Rattus norvegicus: one gene and its partners. The protein of the gene in region 2 purifies or fractionates together with the protein of the main gene of each other region. This does not show direct contact. Links are inferred from orthologs where the notes say so. Each region holds a gene or a part of one and is shown on either strand. Other genes may lie near its edges.

Region 1 (4,204 bases), on a different chromosome or scaffold from region 2:
CATTTGCCTGCCATGTTCAAGGCCCTAGCACTAGAAAAAATTAAAAGCCCCCAGTCCAAACAAACAAACCCCAAAGTTTTGACTTACATATTTTTTTTTTTTTGGTTCTTTTTTTTCGGAGCTGGGGACCGAACCCAGGGCCTTGCGCTTCCTAGGTAAGCGCTCTACCACTGAGCTAAATCCCCAGCCCCTTGACTTACATATTTTGATTCTGGTACTACTTAGGCATAGAGAAAGAAAAATAACAGACTATACAGAAAATACCAGGTTTGGTGGTAAAAATATAGAAAAGGTCAAAGTTGGAATATATGACAAACCATGTCAGCACACCAGCTCTTGGATGGTGGTCGTTCTCTCAATCCCTTCTAGAAATGGCACAACAGAGGTAACAACACTGAGCTGCTTCGCTTTTTCCCTCTCCTCAACGGTGCTACCCAAATGCTCCTGATTTACTGCGAGTCTTTTTAGGCACGTGCTTCACTTGAACCGACACGGCCTCCTCATAACGGAATACTGCATGGATACAGTGTGAACCGCACACTGTATTTGGATTGATATGATGCTTTTGTTTTTACATTCTGAGTCTGTGGTCTATCAAGGAAATGTCTTCCCTCTGTGCAGTGCATGCTACCACTTCAAGCTCAAGACCACATACCACTCAATCACTGAATGGCCGTGAGGTACCTGACTGCCTAAAAATATTATGGGGCAAAATATAAATACGGAATGTTGAGTCTCAAGGGGAGAAGTCAAAGGACAAATTTTGGGAGTTGCCTCTCTCCTTCAACTGTGTGTCTAGGGAGCTAGAACCGGATTCAGGATGTCAAGCGTGTACCTCTTGGGCCCCCCCTTTGAGCCTTTAGGACAATCTACACTACTGAATTTCACACTGAGAGGAGTCCACACTGAGAGGACAAAGGGTCAGCTACTACATCATGTCCCGACTCATCTGAGGAGGCTAGAACAGAAAGCTGGCAACACCAAACATGCTGATGGAGAAGCAGGTGGACCGTGGGTAAGTTTCAGCATCTCTGATCGTACAGTGTTATTTGAAGACTTCAAGTCAGTATAGGAAGGAATCGGGATCGATGCCTATGAACGAATTAGCAGTCTAGAAGGAATGTTGGGAGTGTGTAAGGCTGCACATAGAATTAAGGAAAACACCTAGCATTAGCTAACTCAGGAAACGTTTGAAGTTTATCAAATGCTGACAATGGCCTCAACTACACTTGACAACAGAATCGTCTTTTTACACACTGTATATACACACTCTGGAAAGAGCTCGTGTCTGCTGAGCAGCACCGGATGTCACCAACTTTCCCAGAAGCTCAAAGACCCTTCACATCTTAACACCTGTGCCGGGCCAACTGGTGCAGGGCAGGCACTCCACAAATGTCTGCTGAGAATTCAACTGCTGTTGACCTCCACAGTTAAGTAACCCAACCTGAGGTTAGACTCAAGGTTAATCTAACACACACCCCCCGCCACACACACACACACACACACACACACACACACTGAGTTTCTCTGGAACTCCCTTTGTCCACTAGGACTACCTAGAAGGCACTGAGACCACCTGCCTCTGCCTCCCAAGTGCTGGGATTAAAGGTATCCACCACTACCATCCGGCCAATATTCTTCATATACATAGTTTATATCATATTTAATTTCCTCACTACTTTGGAGTCTTAGCATATTGCTACAAATTCTTTGCTTAATGAAAGAACGATTTCAACTAGTTCGTGGCAGTTCCCTAAACTAGTTTACAAAACCCTAGTTTAGTGCTGGAGCGCCTTAATATTCCATACAGTAAAACCAAGGAATCGCTAAAACACTGTCCACAGTTAATCTTATCACCAATTCTAGCCACCTAGCTTCAAAGTAGTTGATGTTATTATACAATGTCACCCATAACCACATTTTATCTGTCCATCCCTAGGCATTCTAATATACAATTTTATTGTACTCTGCACAGAGAGTATTAAACCTTACCCTATCCCTTTATCACATGGCAGTTAACAAATGTAATTTTATTAAGGCCTCCTTCTCCTACCGAGGGACCTTGGGACAGTTTTATGACCTTGCAAGGATTTTACTTCAACATGAGGGCGTGTTGACATCGGCAGATCTTTTTAAGCCCCTTCAGCACCAAGGCGACCAGCAAGTGCGGGAGGGGGCTGATTTTGAGTTCCTTCGTTTCTTCAGTAACCAGCAAAGAGCCTGATGGATACACAGCGAGTGCCAGACCAAAGAGCTCAACCAAGCGATCACACCTTAAAGGGTCACTCCCCAGTGCAGTGTTTCACAGGGCGTCAAAGACAAAAGTTACAACTTAACTAGGGCTTTCTGCCGGATCTCCCCTTCACCTTGAGGCCCTTTCTAAAGACTTTGCAAGATGTGCTCCCTAGTACGGAGCGGAAGTACGGAGTTGATCGAAACCCAGATGGCTCCAACGCTCAATCCGACTCTCGTACGGGTCCTGAGGTCCCAGGTGGCCGTTCCAGTCCCAGCGGATCAGGCCGTGACCTTGTTCCCTTTGACCCCAGCCCCGGGACTGGCACGCGACCTTCCAGCTCTGCAGACCTTGCCGCGGCCCGAGTGGCCGGGCCGTGCAAGAGCTGGGGTCTTCCTCCGCCAGGAGCGAGCATGCAGCCCCATCCCTCCTGTCTTGCAGCAAGCCCAAGCCCCGGCATGCCTCCCGGCGTAGTCATACCATTGCGGCTGCAAGGAGCAGGCCGACAGCCCGACAATACTCGCCCGCGAGAACATGGTAGAACCTTGAAGGTCGGGCAGACGAGGCTCACTGCGCGTGCGCGGGAGCTCGGGGAGCAGCGGCCTGCTCCGCTAGCGCCCTCAGTCTCGCTAAATCTCGTGAGCGCGGAAGCCGCGAGGTCCCTGGCCCCACCCACTTCCTGCTGTCAGTTTTGGTCCCGCCTATCCGCGCGCGGGTCCAGTTCCGCTTCCGACGGCTTCGCTGTTGTACTCTCAGGGTCGCCATGGGCAAGTCAGATTTTCTGAGCCCCAAGGCCATCGCGAATAGAATTAAGTCTAAAGGGCTGCAGAAGCTTCGCTGGTACTGCCAGATGTGCCAAAAACAATGCCGCGACGAGGTAAGTGGCTCAGGGTGGCCGCGACCCCGAGGGGCCTGACGGCGACCCTGGTACCCTCGGCTCTGAGCGCTCTCCGGCTCAGTCTTCCTCAGCTCGGCGCCTGAGGTCTGTTTCCTCACAGCCCTTAGCGCCGCCCTCCAGCTCCCCGAGAAGTGATCCCAGACAAGCACGCACTGACACGTCCACTTGCTAGGCTCCGTACAGCATTGACGTTTTACATTTAGACTTCCCTGGTGGGGTGGGTCAGGATTAGGAACTCAAGTTTCTCCTCTTAATAGTGATAGGGGCTTGGACAATACTGCTAAAGTAGGGGTAATAGTTGTACCTACCTGCAAGGTTGTCACTGAGGTTCTTTTTTGTTGTTTTGTTTTGTTTGTTGTTTTGTTTTTTGATATTTTTAGACAAGGGACTCCCCATGACATAAATACCCCAACCCCCCTTGCTATTGTTATCCTAGAGTTTCAATATATGGATTTCCAAAGGGACAGGTTTGCAGTTCATCACACCTAGAAGTTACCCCTTAAGTGGTTTTCCCTATTTCCTTTTTGTCTGAAATAGAGTAAATTATATAACTATCAGTATACCTTCACCCCTGAAAACTTCATTGTGATCAACATAACAAGTAATCATATTAATATTTCAATTTATGTCAAAATACCACCAATATAACAAACCTAATAAAAGTCCTGTACATTATTTGATACACACTTTATTATTTTGTTTTGGACACAGTGTCGATGTAGCTTTGGCTGGTCTGGAACTCACCATGTTCATAGACCAGGCTAGCCTCAAACAAGATCTACCTGCCTCTGCCTCCCAAGTGCTGGTATTAAGCACCACCCCTCTCCATATTAATAATTTCTTGGTGGTCTCATGGTGGTGATGGGGACCAGGAGGCTTGATTATTAAGCAGTGCTCCAAGTTCAATGTTTTTCCAAGACAGAGTTTCTCTGTGTAGCCTTGGCTGTCCTGGAACTTGGCTGGTTTTGAACTCATACAGATCTGTCTGTGTCCGCCTCCTTAGTCTGGAACTAAAGGTGTGCACCACCACTGTCCAGCTTCAAAACTCTGGCTTACTTGCACTCATTTCTTTC
Region 2 (3,512 bases):
CACAGCCAAAAGCACCTGGAATAGCAGTAGTTCCTCCCTGAACACACCTGAAGGGCAACAGAACAAAAATCAGAAGAAATGTTTATTATGCTGTTGGCTTGCTAATGTATGCTGCTAAACAAAGTAGGTAACTGATAGAAAAATACCTGTAAGGTAATTACTCTGAAACATTTCTATACACGCAGAACATACTGTCATAATTATTGGCAACTCCTTTGTGCCTAACAGCATGTTTTAAGGTGGATGTAAACCAGGTGTGACGCGGCATGCCTTTTATCTCGGCACTCAGGACGCAGAGGCAGGTGGATCTCTGTGAGTTTGAGGCCAGCTTGCTCTACATGGTGAGTTCCAGGACAGCCAGCGTTACATGGATTAAGCAAGTCTTTAACAAAAGAAAGATGGACGTGGCAGTTATGCCTATATTCCCAGCATTTGGGAGGCTGAGGCAGTAGGATTACCCATGAATTGAAGGCTAGCTTAAATTACATAGCATCCCAGGCAAGTCTGAGGTACAGAGTGACATAGTATCCTGAAGTAACAAAAGACAACTTAGCACGTGTTTTCTTCTGATTAGCCATCGTTATCACGTACAGTGGGTGGAAAGTGGAAGTGTGCTCCATAAGACACCGAGGAAGGGTCTTCAGAAGCCATATGAACGCAGGCAGGTAATAAAATAGCCTGAATGACATTCCTGCTTGCACAAGTCTGTTCACTGAAGAACACAAGTGCATCTCCTTCATAAGGGGTAGAGAAGGGCCTAGGAAACTTACATCTTGTCATAAAGTTCAGTTTAGTCAGGAAGAGTAATAAGGCCACCCTGAAAGAGCCCAGGTCTGAAGGAGGGCAGAGTATACTTACAGGAGGGAGACCTAAGAAATACTCAAGCTTATAGGAGTAGGGAACAGGGGAGAACAGGGTGTCCATGTCAAGGCAATACTCAAAGCTGTGACAAATTAAAAATGTATTGTTCGGTTCAAGAGACCAGCAATGCTAAGGGCAGGACAGAGCTCCCATGGGTTAGAGGAGAAGCACCGGTGTCATGTGTATTCCTCAGGAGTTTACCATGACAAGACTGCAGGGACACGTAGAAAGGATAAACTCTAACACTGGCCGCTCCTCTCCTCTTCCCTTCCTTTCTCTCTCACTAGACAGGAGACTTATGAAAAGAGGCAGAAGAGGGAGACACACTTGAGGAACCCAGATATGTAATGAACCCCAAAAGGGGAAAGAGAGAGGAGGGAGGTGGAGCTTCATAGTGCCTGATTTCTCAGTGAAGAAGAAACGAGAAGGAGGAGACGTGGAGTTGAGCATCTGAACTACACAGAGAAGCATGAAGCAGCCGCAAGGCCAGCAGACAATTATAGTGGGGGAAGGGCTGCCATGGCAGTGTGGTCAGAAATCAATTTCTCGGATCATCTGGTTGCTCTCAGTGGCGTGTGCAAAGCAGAAGGGAACAGCTGGACGGCTCCACAGTTGGAATTTCGCCAGGTGAGTTCTGGCAAAAAACAAAGTTTTATTATACCACTAGGAACTACTCCTAAGTTTCAGTCTGTGGAGTATATTCTGAATAATGGACACAGACAGGAGGCAATGAGCACAGAAGAAGTCAAAGCACAGAGGTCTCTTCGGGAAAGAAACAGGGAGAGCTCCCCAAAGAGCCAGCTTCAGTGAGAGTGCAGGGGAGGCTGCTCAGCTCAGCTAGGTGGCAGGGGCCTGCTTGGCCAGTGGGAGGCACTGACTTTAATGATAAATTTATAGTGATTCAAGGTTGAACAGAAACCAGGCATTAAACGATGAGGTCATTGTAGAAAATACAGCGGCATACAGTAAAGCCACGTGTCTAACAAAAGACAGTAAAATTTTCTAAGCCAAGAAAACAGAAAAGAGCACACTATAAATTACTACCCGTGACAGCATACGGAGTCCATTTGACTTTAGAAATTAACGATTTACAGCAATGCCAATTTATTAATTCTAGGACAACTTAAAGTTACTTATATGCTTTGTCACAGATAGTCTTTTGGAAATTTTATTTTTCAGGAAGTTTTTTTTAAATACAATGTTGTTCGGGACTATAGAGGAAAAACCTTTGCCTCTTAATTATTGGCAACAGATGTAACTAATTCATCATACTTGCCCTAGATAAAACCTATCGCTGTATTTAATACAGAGAACTCATATCTGCAAGGATTACGAAAAGGCTGGTGCACATGATACCTTGGGGGCAGACAGTGGGAGACAGCAAACTTACGGGAAAAGGGCATCGAGCACTCTCTGGCCAGTAAGCAAGGGGTGGTTGGCTGGCAGCTTTTCAGTGACAGGCCGCACCTGACGCACAGGCCACACTTGGACCATGCTCAACTTCTCCTTCACACCTTCAAATTCAAGCTCCAGGACGACATCCTGTTAAAACACACAAATGTAAGGCAGTAAAACTTTAAGGGTGGCTAAGTCTGTGAGTCACTCTTCTTCCAAAACCCAAGTAAGTAAGCTCAGGTTACTCTCGTGGATAGAAGGCTGATTTTATAAGAAGGGAGGTGTATAGTTCTTGTTATGTGTCTTTACATATAGTCATACTTCTTTATACTGGGTGCATCACCATCTCACTGACTAATATAAAGTATGGTAGGAAGTCTTTGGAAGGAGCACATCAAGTAATAAAGAGCTACATAAATTGAACAAGCACGACAGGTAAGTCTTAAAGGCTATACATGTTCCCTGGATTAGGGAAAAGTGGAAGGAAGTGTGAACTTACCTTTCTCCCTTTTTCATTATCACAATCATATTGCTCTAATTTAGAAATACATTCTAAGAGTCCCAAAATATTATTATTTTTATTTTTTGTTAATATTTTTAAAAGGAAGTGATAATATAACAACATCTATGAACTGTTTAAACCACTCACAAGTAACTCCAAATTCCAGAAGAAATCTGTAGTCTGGTTAATATGAATGGTCTGTTCCAGGGCAAGTCCTCCATTTAGAATGAGCAAGTCTCTAAGCTAGTGAACAAGTCTAGACAGCTGTTGTAGAATCTCAAACTGACAAGTGTTCTCTACATGTTATAAAGCACACATTTTTGTAAATACTTTTGAAAAACTGCTTATTGCATTTTACTATGGGGACATTACATGTTATCATGGATTTCTCAATAAAATTATATGCCTATTTAGAAACTGCTACAACTCTATTGTCTGACACTCTGCGACTATAGGTAAAATAAACTAAGTTACAAATGATACACTCAAGTAAGAACTCATATAATCTACTATATAATTAATTATGTGAATCCTGATTGACAGTTAAAAAATCATGTTTATTCTAAGCCTGCTGAATGAGATATAGGCAAACCCATCAGTTAAGAAGCTAGGAAATGTCATATTTCTTTTTAAAAAGGTATATTCTTGTTCTTGTATGCTCAAGTCCAGGTCTAAACAAAATTACCCTTAAAAATGGCATAGCTCAGTGGGAGTGAGTGCCTAGCATATGAGCCTCTGGATCTGTTCCCTATCA
Region 3 (4,055 bases), on a different chromosome or scaffold from region 2:
TCTGGCCAGTGTGATCCAGACCCTTGTCCTGACTGCCTGCAGAAGACAGTCTCCTTCTGGCTGCCTTCAAATCAAGACATAGACCTCTCGGCTCCTCCAGGACCATGTCTGCCTGCGTGCTGCCATGCTTCCTGCCATTATAGATTAAACCTCTGAACTGTAAGCCAGTCCCAATTAAAGGTAACCTTTGTAAGAGTTACCCTGGTCATGGCATCTCTTCAAATGTGCTGGTGCCCCTCTTACCTGTAACTAAGATGATATTCTAAGCTGGCCTTGAGCTTGTGGCCATCCTCTTGCTTCAAATCCCCTAAATGCTGGGGTTGTTTTTATGTGTTCTCAAATTTAGCAACTAACATGAGGCCTTGCTTGGCTCTCTACAGCACTGCACAGTGTCATTAATCTCTCCATTTCCTTAGTAATTAAATATAGATTCAGTAATCGTTAGCCACATCATAGTTAACGTGCATGTGTACATCATTCAGATTCAGAACTTGACCTTCCAGCTAGGAAATATCCTTTCTTGCGGTAGCCCATGTCCCTAAACCTGGATGAAGGCAAGAGTTCGAACAAACGAATGAAGGGGCAGGAAATACTGGTGCAGCATTCAGGAGGATGAGGCAGTAGGATCACTTGCTGCAAGTTCAAGGCCAACCTGGTCTATATTCTGAGTTCCAGCCAGCAAAGGCAACATATAGAAGATTTCAAAAAAAAAAAAAACTACAAAATAAAACCAAGAAAAGGGGGGAGGGAGTTTGTCTTGGTGGCAGGCACAAGCCTTATATCCTAATACTTGGGAGGCAAATAGTGAGACCTCTCTTTAAAAAGTAATAATAAAATAAATTTTAAAAAAAGCACTGGGTTGACCAGATAAACCCCAAGGAGACTCCCATAGGGTATACTATGACCTCACAAACTTGGGCTCGCTCCACCGCCATCCTGCACTCGCCTCCAAAACCACAAATATAACCAAATATATGTATGTATGTATGTATGTATGTATGTATGTATGTATGTATGTATGTATGTATGTATGTATGTATGTATGTATGTATGTATGTATGTATGTATGTATGTATAGGACAGAATGCTAGCAAGTGGCCTTTGACGCTCAGCCTTCTGGGAGATGTAGTTCTGTGGTTCCCGTCTCTGTGGCGCAGGAGTAAGCGGATTGATCCGAGTTCCTGCTAATGCGCGTGCCCGGGAGGCGGGGGACTGCGCATGACTGAAGGGAGGGGCCGCTGCGGGGGCGGGGCATCACTGCTGTTTGGGGAGCCTTCTGCCGGGCCGACAGGATGGCGGGCAGGGGTAAACTAATCGCAGTGATTGGAGACGAGGACACGGTGACTGGTTTCCTGTTGGGCGGCATAGGGGAGCTTAACAAGAACCGCCACCCTAATTTCCTGGTAGTGGAGAAGGATACCACCATCAATGAAATCGAAGACACTTTCAGGTACGGTAGCCTGTGAGGCCTAAATGGGCTCTTCCGCTTGCACGGGGAGAATTGATGGCCTGTTCACCTGGGTGTCAGGGGTCGATGAGGATCGGGATGGTCCCGGAAGTCGTCTCTCCAGGAGCAGGTGCCTCCGCCGTCTAAGTTCCCTTCTGGGGTCCAGTGGGGCCCGGCCTACGGCAGGTCCATGAGCTCCACATCACATGACTGTGTGTCAGTTTAGAAGAGAGTGGAGCTTGTTATCTGCCCCGGCTGTAATTGGACTCCTGGAGCCTCTGACCAGTGCTGACCGGCACGCTCAGCCCACTTCCGGGGTCCCTGACGCTCACCTGTAGCGCATTCTCTGGACCTTACAGTCTTTTCGACTGTGTCCTAAACAAACCACCTCCAATGTAGGTCCGGGCAGTCAGTGGGCGCGCGCGCGCGCGCGTGTGTGTGTGTGTGTGTGTGTGTACGCTCACAATTGTCCTGTGTGTGTGTGTGTGTACGCTCACAATTGTCCTGTGTGTGTGTGTGTGTGTGTGTGTACGCTCACAATTGTCCTGTGTGTGTGTGTGTGTGTGTGTGTGTGTGTGTGTGTGTGTGTACGCTCACAATTGTCCTGTAAGGTAGTGGTCATTCCCACCTCCAATGTAGGTCCGGGCAGTCAGTGGGCGTGTGTGTGTGTGTGTGTGTGTGTGTGTACGCTTCATTTATTTTAGAGGCTCACAATTGTCCTGTAAGGTAGTGGTCATTCCCACTTACTAGTGAAAAAATAAAGGGCGAATAGGTTAGGGCACAGACCCGAAGACACACCAGCCATAAAAGGCAGAACCCAGGTCAACTCTTTAATTATGGAGTTTGTGTTTGTGTCCGTGGGTAGGCGTGCACACATGGAGGTCAGAAGACAACTTTGTGGAGTCGGTTTTCTTTCCATGGGCTTTGAGGATAGAACTCAAATAACCAGGCTTGCATAGCTCACACCTTTACCTGTGCCTTTCTTAAGCTATTACCTACTCTGTGTATACAGTTCCTTGCAGTCTGCCTTGGGGTTTCCATTTGTCTTTTGACAATGGGCAAAACTTCTGGGAAGTATGACCTTCCACAAAGACCTTTTACTTCAACTCCTCACTTCATGCCCTGGGTCATAGTTTCAAAAAGTGGGTGCAGGCATTGCTTTTAAGCCAAAAAGTGCCCTGTTGACTAGAATTGTGGGTGCCAACTCCCTATTTTTTCCTCTCACTCCTCTTCTAGAACTACTATGCAAATCTCAGGAATAAACTGCCCTCACCTGTTTTCCCTCAATAGCAGAGTCCAGGGATGCCGGCTGAGACTAGTTCCCACAGCCTGGAATGTGGCAGGCTGTGTCCTGGGAGACTGATCTCTAAGGAACCAGTAGTGTGACCTCCGTTGTCACTGGAGGACAGATCTTACTTCTAAGAATTTACCATGTTTCCAACAGGAAGGAATCCTAAAACCAAATCTGTTCCATGCTTGGCACAAAGTTGGTGCCCAGTAAATTATTTCTAATGAGTAAATACATGGTTGAAGGGGCATGCATGTCTGTGTGTGGAGGTGATCACATGAGAGGAAGGCCAGAATGACAGTCTCTGTCTGGAAATAGTGATTCGTTCACTGCTGAGTTTCCTCTTTCCATCTTGCCTTTGGCTCATAGCAGATGTCCTCCTGGTCCATCCCCTTAATCAGCATAGAACTGTAGGCCTTCAGTGGTCTCCTCGACCCTAGCTCTAAACATTCAGTAAAAATCAAAAGATATACATTAAGGAATCACTCTGCTACTCCATCCTTGCATTTTTCTTGATTTCAACCACTATCAATAATAAGAAAAAGGTTTTGTTGTTTTGTTTTATGAGACAGGGTTTGTGTAGCCCCAGCTCTCCTGGAATTACCTCTGCGGACTAGGCTGGTCTTGGTCTTTTTTCTTTTTTGTCTTTCCTTCCTTCCTTCCTTCCTTCCTTCCTTCCTTCCTTCCTTCCCTTCCCTTCCCTTCCCTTCCCTTCCCTTCCCTTCCTCCTTTATTTCTTTCTCTTGGTTTCGTTTTGTTAAGGTTTTTTGTGTTTCTAGACTCTTACACAGATACAAAGGTGCTCATACCCAATTTCCTCGCCTCTGCCTCTCTTCCACGGAGGCAGCATATAGAACACACTGACATGGATCCTGGTCTTCATTACCAGTTCCCTCCATGAGCAAATGTGTGGACTCCAACCCTGATCAGTGTGGTTCTGAGCTCCTGAGTGCAATTGGTTCATCCAAGGAGAGATAAGGTTGAAGGCCTTATGCATGCAGTCACTGTCATTCCCTGCTCTTCTCCCCCAACAGGCAGTTTCTAAACAGGGATGACATCGGCATCATTCTCATCAACCAGTACATCGCAGAGATGGTTCGGCACGCCCTCGATGCCCACCAGAGGTCCATTCCAGCCGTCCTGGAGATCCCGTCCAAGGAGCATCCCTACGACGCAGCCAAAGACTCCATCCTGCGCAGGGCCAAGGGCATGTTCACTGCTGAAGACCTGCGCTAGGGCTGCTCAGCCCTTAACCCTCCTCTCGCTTCCAGGCCTCTCCCAGTTTGCCACCCTCTATTTAAGTTTCAAGCCTTGGTTTCC

What was found. Proteins that work in one complex are often made in the same cells at the same time.
Region 1: the proteins of Atp6v1a (region 2) and Atp5f1c fractionate together in Homo sapiens (co-fractionation; 3 studies listed by BioGRID). This does not show direct contact. The link is inferred for Rattus norvegicus from reciprocal best matches to the Homo sapiens genes ATP6V1A and ATP5F1C.
Region 3: the proteins of Atp6v1a (region 2) and Atp6v1f fractionate together in Homo sapiens (co-fractionation; 3 studies listed by BioGRID and IntAct, with this or other methods). This does not show direct contact. The link is inferred for Rattus norvegicus from reciprocal best matches to the Homo sapiens genes ATP6V1A and ATP6V1F.

Annotation. Positions count from the first base shown.
Region 1 is NC_086035.1:73,332,288-73,336,491, reverse strand, and holds the start of Atp5f1c (ATP synthase subunit gamma, mitochondrial), read right to left. Parts: upstream 2,808-4,204; 5' UTR 2,770-2,807; coding exon 2,714-2,769; intron 1-2,713. Other genes in the region: Kin (DNA/RNA-binding protein KIN17), read left to right, coding at 2,997-3,110.
Region 2 is NC_086029.1:70,095,002-70,098,513, reverse strand, and holds part of Atp6v1a (V-type proton ATPase catalytic subunit A), read right to left. Parts: intron 2,404-3,512; coding exon 2,252-2,403; intron 48-2,251; coding exon 1-47. UniProt on the Homo sapiens protein: Catalytic subunit of the V1 complex of vacuolar(H+)-ATPase (V-ATPase), a multisubunit enzyme composed of a peripheral complex (V1) that hydrolyzes ATP and a membrane integral complex (V0) that translocates protons.
Region 3 is NC_086022.1:59,031,772-59,035,826, forward strand, and holds the start of Atp6v1f (V-type proton ATPase subunit F), read left to right. Parts: upstream 1-1,248; 5' UTR 1,249-1,292; coding exon 1,293-1,450; intron 1,451-3,769; coding exon 3,770-3,971; 3' UTR 3,972-4,055. UniProt on the Homo sapiens protein: Subunit of the V1 complex of vacuolar(H+)-ATPase (V-ATPase), a multisubunit enzyme composed of a peripheral complex (V1) that hydrolyzes ATP and a membrane integral complex (V0) that translocates protons.